Xenopus tropicalis: one gene and its partner. The protein of the gene in region 2 binds, or shares a complex with, the protein of the main gene of each other region. Links are inferred from orthologs where the notes say so. Each region holds a gene or a part of one and is shown on either strand. Other genes may lie near its edges.

Region 1 (4,431 bases), on a different chromosome or scaffold from region 2:
TGAAGACCTGCGAGAATAGAGTTCCTGCTTTTTTCTATGAGCAGACTTAGGATATTCTTCCTAATAGTTGGCCCTTAATTCAACTGATCAGCCTTTGACATGGGATATAATGCTACAGACTGTTTTACTTTCAGGCATACATAACTGCTGTCAAGCTCATCGAATCCCTTAGGAGAAAAATGCTATGTAAATAACCCCAGTTGGGATTCTCGTTTACTATATTTGTTGGTTTGTTACATTGCTAAATTGCCATCATTATTCCACTATATAATCATATACCTTTACAAACTTTATTAGGCGAGACATCTTATTTAAGAAGAGATAACAGAATAGAGAATTGAAGGTATTTTATTAAAAGTTGTTGAAGTCCTTTTCTGTGTATGTTCCACAGATTTAAGGTTTGACAAACTGTATCTATAAATAGTTGAGTCATGTTAAGGTTTCTGGCTCATTTTCTTTAGGGTCTTGTTCAGCTGTGGATAAAAAGGAAAAGCATGTCAGTACCATATCAAAGGTTCTGGATGCCCTTTACTCTACACTGCTTTCACTCTTGAACACAGTCGCAGACATGACAATGGCCAAAAGCAGTTAAGATAATGCTGCATCTGCCAAGAACAACATTACATTGACATGGATTTAATCTGAAACATATAACTCCAAATTATCATCCAAGACTACGATCAATGTCACTATTGTCTTTCTGAATGTATGTATGCATAATACCCAGAATTCATAGAATACATAGTGCCCTGTTACGGTAACTAGCAAATAACTATAGATCATTACTACCCACTATAAACAAACCGAGACAAAGGTTTTATATGACAACAGTACAAGGATATGGACACATTGTTTCTTTATGGGACGCTAAAGTGAAACACAGCATAATTACTTCCCATGGAATACTGTAGTCCTCTTACCTCCTCAAACTTGTGAATCTGTCGTATGAAGAAGTCTCCATACCGCCTAGCAACTTTAGTATCTGCAATGTGTATCATATCCTGAATATAGAAGACAATATAGTTAAGAAGGCTGCAGAACAAAAGAGTGTGTGTATATCTATACATATTTTTTTCTCCAGATGCACACTCCACTTATATTCAATCCAATTTATTGCTTCATAAAATTACATCAACGTTTCGGCCCTGGTCTAGGGTGAGGACAGAAGTCGGAGGATGCTAAAGCAGCTGCAAGGATCCGCAGGTCCCTGGGGGGGGGGGGGTGATGGAGGATGCTGGGGGTGGAGTTGGAGGATGCTGGGGTGGGAAGCTGCAGGATGCTGGGGAGTGGAGCTGTGAGGCCCCGTGATTTCTGATGGCAGCCCTTGGCATAACGCTGGCCCGGCCTGGCTGTAAGTGAATGTGGCCCCTGAGCCAAAAAGTTTGCCCACCCCTGGTCTAGAAGGTAGGCAGTGGTGCACACACAAGGCTCTACCAGAACTGGTTAGATTAGAGCCTGGTTAGATGAAAACATGTTAGTCCTTGAATTCTTAATTAATGGCTTTAAAGGTCCTAGCTGGAAGGAGGAAAAGTTATCTGTCACCTTATCTATGTAGAAGTCTACTTCTGAGGCAGACTGGAATTCTCCTTCGAGGGCAGAAATACCACTGGTCCAAACCAAGTTCTTCATTTTGTGTTTGAAAACCAGTAACTGAATACGGAACTCTTGTTCTGGGAGATCCAAGAATCCAGCCAGTTTGGCTACAGGCATGGTTGTATAGAGTTTCAGAAAACTAAAACACAATAGAGAGTAATAGGCATACAATGAAATCTTAATGTAAGCCAACAGTGTCTCTTGTAAGGTGTAAAGAGGCAGACTTACCTTCTTATTGTGGAAAGCTGGGCTTGCTGCTGCACCTCATCAAGGAACACCTTAAGTTGCTGCAGGTAGGGCTCCTTGTGGTAGTTGGGATGAACGTTGTCATAATTGGGGACCACTGGGGACAGGAATTTGGGGCAAGCATAATTGAAAAGCTCCTCATAGATCTGGGCATCTCTGTAAAGGAAAAAAAAGTCGGTCAACCTATAGGTAGAAGCAGTTTAACCCATCCGCTCTATGAGCCTTTTTAGCAAGTTTTATCATGTTACTCTTCATTACTCACCCTTTCTGCATGCGAAGCATCTTATCCCCATATTTCTCTCTTAGCTGAGTGTGGATGCTCTCGTCAATTCTCATGGGGTACATGGTGAGGGCGATGGCTAGAAGACCATGCATCTGCTCATTCTGCTTGTTAATCTGCACCAACAGAAGATAAGTTAACTGGTATCTAGTGGGCAAAAAACTGAAAAGGGCAAGAAAAGTAAGACTTGATATGCAACCAGATGCATTCAGCTACGGGAAAGAGGATACTTTACTTTTTCATAATAACCCTAGCAAAGGGCAAACTACACTGGGGCAGGGGTTGAAGCATTTTTAAAAAAAAATGTTGTTGTATATAAAGGACACTAGTAATAATTTAAAGGGAAGTTCACCATAAAATAAATTCACATTTGTCTTTGGCCTTAGTTTAGTTGCCAATTTAAGGCAATATAGATACTGTGCCTCAAGAGTAACAAATATTTATATATATTTTTTGGTGTGCAGGGGAAAAAAAACAGATATGATCATTAAATTAGTTTTACAGGTGAGAAGAGACAGCCAGCATGTACATGAGCAATAAAAAGGACCTACCATCTCATACTTGTATGTGGTCCTTTGAAACATACTCTTCGTCCTCTGAATATACAGCAGAATGTTGGCAAACACACGGATGGCATCCTGATATCTCCTCATCATGAGGTAAGCAAAGCCTACATAGTAATATGTAGTGACCTGGCACTCAGGCACACGTGAATACATGCTCTGTCAAAGAAGGAATAAACAGAAAAGAACTGCAGGGTCACAAACCTACAGGAGGAAACTCCACTTAAAGGCTCAAATAGGAGTGTATTTGGGTATATTACCTTTTTGTTAAGCTCAATATTCTCCAGCACCTTGATGGCTTGGTAATAATCCCCTAGCAGGGAGTGGAGACGCAGGAGACCAACAAGGCTGAAGTAACCCAACATCTTGTAAAGAGAGTGTCGCCCATATTCCCCAGCCACACTTTCAGGGTCCCCTGCAAACAAAGAACTAATCAGAAACATACTTTGTGCAAATACCTTGAGTCTTTTTGTTTATCAATTACACAGAACCACTGACATGCATAATTGCTAAAAATCTCAGAAGCGAAGCTTTAATGGAATAGGTTTTAACCTTTCAAACAGGAATGGTGATTTCTGTAGTGGCTTAAACAGTTCTGGCAAGGGATTTAAAAAGATCACCAAACAGTTGGGTATCAATCAAAATGTAATCACGGCACTTACAGATAGCTTTTACCACTGCTGAAGTCAAAGCCATTGAAGTCTACCATTAGACACAGGCTGAATAAATTAGATCTACATGGGAGATGTACCAGGAGGAAAACTCAGCAGTCCAAAAAAGGGCTTAAAACTACAGTTTGCCCATTAACACCACTGTCTTGGTTAGCGTCTATACACTATATTTTAGGCCATCTAACAGGCCCCATAGGTTGCTTCATCCTTTGAACCAAACAGGGCCCCTTTTCTTACCTCCACTGGTATAGACCTCCAGCTGGCGGTTGATGTTGGACTTATCAACCAATGAGTGTAGAACATTTAGTACACTGTGGACATTCCAGATCTTGGGGTTGGAGCGCAGGAATTCAATCTCCTCCTCTGATTTTTTGGCTGTTTTACAACGATATTGACTGAATGACTGGAACTGAGAGAATGAATAAGAAAAAAAGAAAAAGGTGCTTAGAAAAAAAATCATATTTTAATACAGACTCTCTAGGTCACAGAACACAAGTACAGCATGGTCACCTGGATGTTCCAAATTAGACATACAAGGAGGAAAATACAGACCTGGTAAATAAATTCATCTATAATGTCCCACAGCCATTGGTTTGGAAGTTCTAAAGGAGCAGGTCCATCAGCATCTGTGATAGGAATACACAAATTTTACCCTGCTTCTCTGTTAAGTTCCACTCACAATCTTGCAGACTCCCTCCCACACAGTTTCCCAATAAGCAACAATCGCCGCACTGCATACATTCCTGTACACTTACTGAGTATGTAGTTGAAGAGGTTGCAGTAATTGTAATAGGATTCAAAACGCTGCTCCAGTGTTGGACCACCCTGAAGTAATAAATATGCTTATTATTATTAGTGTAGACAGTCAGAAAGAATGATGTGAAGGTCAAATAATAAACTGCAAGATATAAACTAAATATAACTAGAAGCACTTTAACATTTATAAGATACCTTAACAATCCATTCTCTTGCGAAGGGTTACGTTGGCAAACTAACTAAATTCATTCCTGCTTGTTCTACTGTAGATTTGCTTTTTATTTTTCAAAAATGAATGCCATTTTGTAGCTACAGGTTCACA
Region 2 (4,093 bases):
CTGCCCATATTTGGTCACTGCGGGCAGGCCTTCCCAAAAGAAATCTGGAATCAAATTGGCCAGATCTCTATGAGGCAAGATATGATTTTCCCATCAGATCAGGGAACATTGGATAGTTGATGCAGTCCTCGGTCTGACAGTGCCCATAGCTGCTATTTTAAGTCGTGCTTAAGTATTATTGCTAATGAAAGCAAAGCCTGGCTGTACCTTGCTCTTCCCTGCATTGCTGGTGCTGGCCATATGCACAACGTTACAATAGTTTGCTCTCCTCCAGCCAATGATCAGTTTCCCACAATACACTGGATTGTTACTTAGAATTAAAATGATACTGGTATATTCCTAAAATAGTCAGCATAACTAGGCAAGAATGGCCACAACCTTCTTTTTTAAACAGTAGCGCCTCAAGCCTGTGGTACCGGCCCATCTCTAGCAGGCCATGTAACAATGTTGCCAGTATGAGTCAAGCCAGTGTATGGTTCACATTATAGGGTTGCACCACCTCCATCCAACGAAGCAGCTCTCTCTCTGCTTATTGTGTCTGCAGGTTAACACTGGGCTGTGGGCAGAGAAACTTTGGTTCTAAACAAAGGACTTTGACTTATTTGTATAATAAACCCTTCCTTCTAAACAGGAGTCACAAACAGTACCTAGGGGAAGGAATGGGTTGTTTACATAGTGCTCAATGTCTCTATTTAAAAAATCTCCTGATAAGTAGAACAATAATCCAGGAGTGCTATTAAATAAAAGGAAAAAAATGGATTTCTTTTTTTAAACACAAGCTTCATGATTTGGTTATGTTGAACATAGGTTCATATTTTCCCTTAAAAAAATGTGAGTTATAAGAGCAAAGGGAAACAAGCAAGAAAACAAAAAAAAAAGGGAGACAACATTGAAACAAGTTGGATGTATATATTTTACTTCATTTCACACACTTTGTTGCTGTTATTTGAAGCTGCTGGTGCCAATAAGGAATACAGTGAAGATGGAACTTATGGTGCCTGTCCCAGTTATTTCTAGTAAGAATGCGTAGTGTGGATAAAGGCTTAGTTTGCTCATATCATGCATCACCCCCCCAAAGAAAAATAAAATCCTTAAGTAATGTGATTCTCTGTCAGCAGTGACTGTATATTGTGCGCTCAGCCATGGAGTTACCAGCTTTTTAAAGGTAACCAAAGGTCTCCCATTTGAAAGTGAAGAACACGTAACTTCGACTTATGGTAAAAAAGATCTAATCCAGCCATGAGACTATAATATACCCGTTAGATTTCCCTTAATACACAGAATTAAATATGCTGGTGTGGGTTTTAGCTGTACAGACAAGTGGTTTCTGGCATAATGTCCCTTGAACAGGCCTTTTACATAATTGCAGCCCCACTGGCTGTAGGCGGCTACAGGGAAGACCGAACAGACAGTAATTGTGCCTTTACCTTTAAACCGCAAGCAGACTAACCCCCATGATAGAGAAGCTACGGAAACCAAAGCAAGGAAAAAAAATATTCAGTATTTCCATTAGGCAAATGCATAAGGGAAATGAGAGATGGGAAATATTGTGACCCTCAGTCCTTTGCCTAGAACAGTTCATAGTCGGGGGGGGGGGGGGGGAAGGAAACTAAAAATAAAAGTTGTCAACAAGGAAGATGAAAAAAAAAAGATCAATACAAGGTATCAAGGCAAAAGCAAAGGAGAGCTGCAAAGAAATAACATATGCATAATTTTTTTTTTTTTTTTTTTTCAAACATTGTTAATATGTACATAAATACAGCTTGTCTTCCCAACGCTATTAATTCCATCTGCGCTTTAACAGCATTATACATGGTAGAATAAACCCACTAATAATGACTTACTGGAGGTGGTCTCTCTAGCTCCCTGCTCCCTGGTGCACTACACTTTGCCAAAGACTCAGAAGCCAACCTTGCCTATGCAGGAGAGAGCACACTGGCCAATCTTGTCACAAGGATGAGTTTATTAAATTAGTTGTCTTATAAAACAAACATTGCAGTCTCATTGTTAATATAACAATTCTCCCAAAGTAGGACCTGTTTGCAAAGCGCCATCCAGTGGGTGAGCAGAAGATTAAGAGAAAGGGCCAGACCTTGAACCTTGGTGCAAGAGTCAAAAAGCAATAAACCAATCGTGAAACCACACTGACACGCAATCACTAAATAAATATCAAGACCCTATGGCCCTCCCCTCCGGCAGAGCCATCAAGAACTGCCAGTTGGCCACAAAGTCATGATGACCCACATGTTTTGGTACTGGCAGCTCCAACAGAAGGCAGCACATATAGTCTGATGCACCAGCGGTATCTCCTTACCATTCTGCATCTTCACAGTTCCACATACTGTAGAGGTGATTTCAGATTGTTTAAAGTTTTAATATGGAAAAGCACCAAGCTGAGTCCATCAGGAATCACAGTTCAAAGCAGGAGATTCCTCTAGCACAAAGCTAAGAAACCAATATATATTAAAAAAAAAAAAAAAAAACTAAGATGGCTGGGAGGGCAGTGTCAATGAGGCAGGAAGTAAAGAGCCAGAAGAAAAAGAAAGATTTAATAACCTGCCCTGCCCAGAGAGAGAGAGACCATATTCCTAGGCAGAAAGCAGAGGCATGACTCTGTTTGTAACATGGCAGAGCTGAGCGTGCATGCCACAAGCAGAGTGGAGAAGGTTGCGAGCCTTGAGTTAAGGGGATGCTGAATAGAGCTGCATAGGTTAATTGTTTAATGTGCGATGTGGGCATCAACCAGTAGAATCCAGATACACACACCATGGCCATTTTCTTTTATATGGCCCGTTGAGGGGGGATGATTTCTTTGACTGTAGCATTTGGCAGAGTCCTGAGGGAGGAGAGCGCACTCCTTAATGAGGGCCACAAAGAACCAGCGTGTCACATGAAATCGTCATACTCTCGTCCATAGCCCTCATCCATGCCCCCATAATCTTCTAGATCATTCTTCATGTTGGCTTTTAGTCCTCCTCCCGGAACAACTCCCTTCTTTTTCTTTTTGGCTTTACTTTGTTGCTGTAATTCAGAGACACAATTGTAGTTTATCCAGGCAAAAAAATATGCTAAATCTCTACCTGCACAGAAGCAGGTTACAGGGGGCATATAACCTACCTATAACAATGACCAATGATTCATGATTTTAGCAGCTTTTACACTGCATGGCAAGAGCGGGGTAGAACATATAAAGCTTAACACTACCCTGCTAATGTCACATTGAGCAAAACAATAGAGCGGTGATGCATGAAGAGATGCTTCTTATCTATATAAAATAAACATTTGCTATTCTTCTTAGCGCTCAGCAGGGGGCACTCATGTTACACCTTCATGCTAACATCATGAAACAAGTCCTCTAATAGGTTGTCATTTTTCTATTACCTTGAAATAATTTCTTTAATACTCCTCCCACCCAAATAAACTCACCTTCTCTTGCTTCTGTTTCTCAAAGCACAACACTGTTAGAGAATTGTTGATTTTCTTCAGGTCATCCACTTCCACTAAAACAGGAAAATACAAAAATACTTCAGGCCACCGCAATATATGGCAAAATTAATGACTAACAAAGTTCATGTGATAAGTCATGAATGAAAAAGCTTTATGGAAATTGGAAAGGAGGAGAGGCTGGCTTACATGAGACGCACACTTCCCGCACAAGGACCTCCAGGAAGCCTGGGTAAAATAACGATCTCTCATACTGGGTGATCTTTTCTTTGAGGAGCTTCCCAAATTCTGTAAAGTCTTCTCTTGAGGACGGATTCATGGCATCTATTCCAGTAACGGTAACATTGTCTCCTGCAGATAATAAACAAACTTTTTTTTAAGGTTTCCTTCCCTCTTCACTGTGACCATATCTGTGCTAAAGGCCACCCTAACATAGCTGCATGTTGGGGAGCAGGTAGAGCCAGGCCTGTGTGCCAGAGCAAGAAGCCAGGCAAAAAGGCAGGTAGTTAATGTCCCAGGCTGGCGAGTTGGGGTGTGATGTTGGACACGGCTACAATATAAGTCAAGCAGAGCGGGGTGGCCGAGTGCTATACTCACTTCGGCACCGCACTGTCCAAGCCTCCTGCTCATCCTAAGCTGCTGAAATCTG

The links. Proteins that work in one complex are often made in the same cells at the same time.
Region 1: eif3j (region 2) and eif3l share a complex: the UniProt entries of both Homo sapiens proteins name them as parts of the eukaryotic translation initiation factor 3 (eIF-3) complex. The link is inferred for Xenopus tropicalis from reciprocal best matches to the Homo sapiens genes EIF3J and EIF3L.

Annotation. Positions count from the first base shown.
Region 1 is NC_030680.2:122,088,843-122,093,273, reverse strand, and holds the end of eif3l (eukaryotic translation initiation factor 3 subunit L), read right to left. Parts: intron 4,179-4,431; coding exon 4,109-4,178; intron 3,980-4,108; coding exon 3,906-3,979; intron 3,763-3,905; coding exon 3,591-3,762; intron 3,098-3,590; coding exon 2,943-3,097; intron 2,842-2,942; coding exon 2,671-2,841; intron 2,236-2,670; coding exon 2,102-2,235; intron 1,996-2,101; coding exon 1,822-1,995; intron 1,733-1,821; coding exon 1,543-1,732; intron 1,002-1,542; coding exon 921-1,001; intron 474-920; coding exon 435-473; 3' UTR 277-434; downstream 1-276. UniProt on the Homo sapiens protein: Component of the eukaryotic translation initiation factor 3 (eIF-3) complex, which is required for several steps in the initiation of protein synthesis.
Region 2 is NC_030679.2:118,203,203-118,207,295, forward strand, and holds the end of eif3j (eukaryotic translation initiation factor 3 subunit J), read right to left. Parts: intron 3,796-4,093; coding exon 3,634-3,795; intron 3,501-3,633; coding exon 3,427-3,500; intron 3,022-3,426; coding exon 2,887-3,021; 3' UTR 896-2,886; downstream 1-895. UniProt on the Homo sapiens protein: Component of the eukaryotic translation initiation factor 3 (eIF-3) complex, which is required for several steps in the initiation of protein synthesis.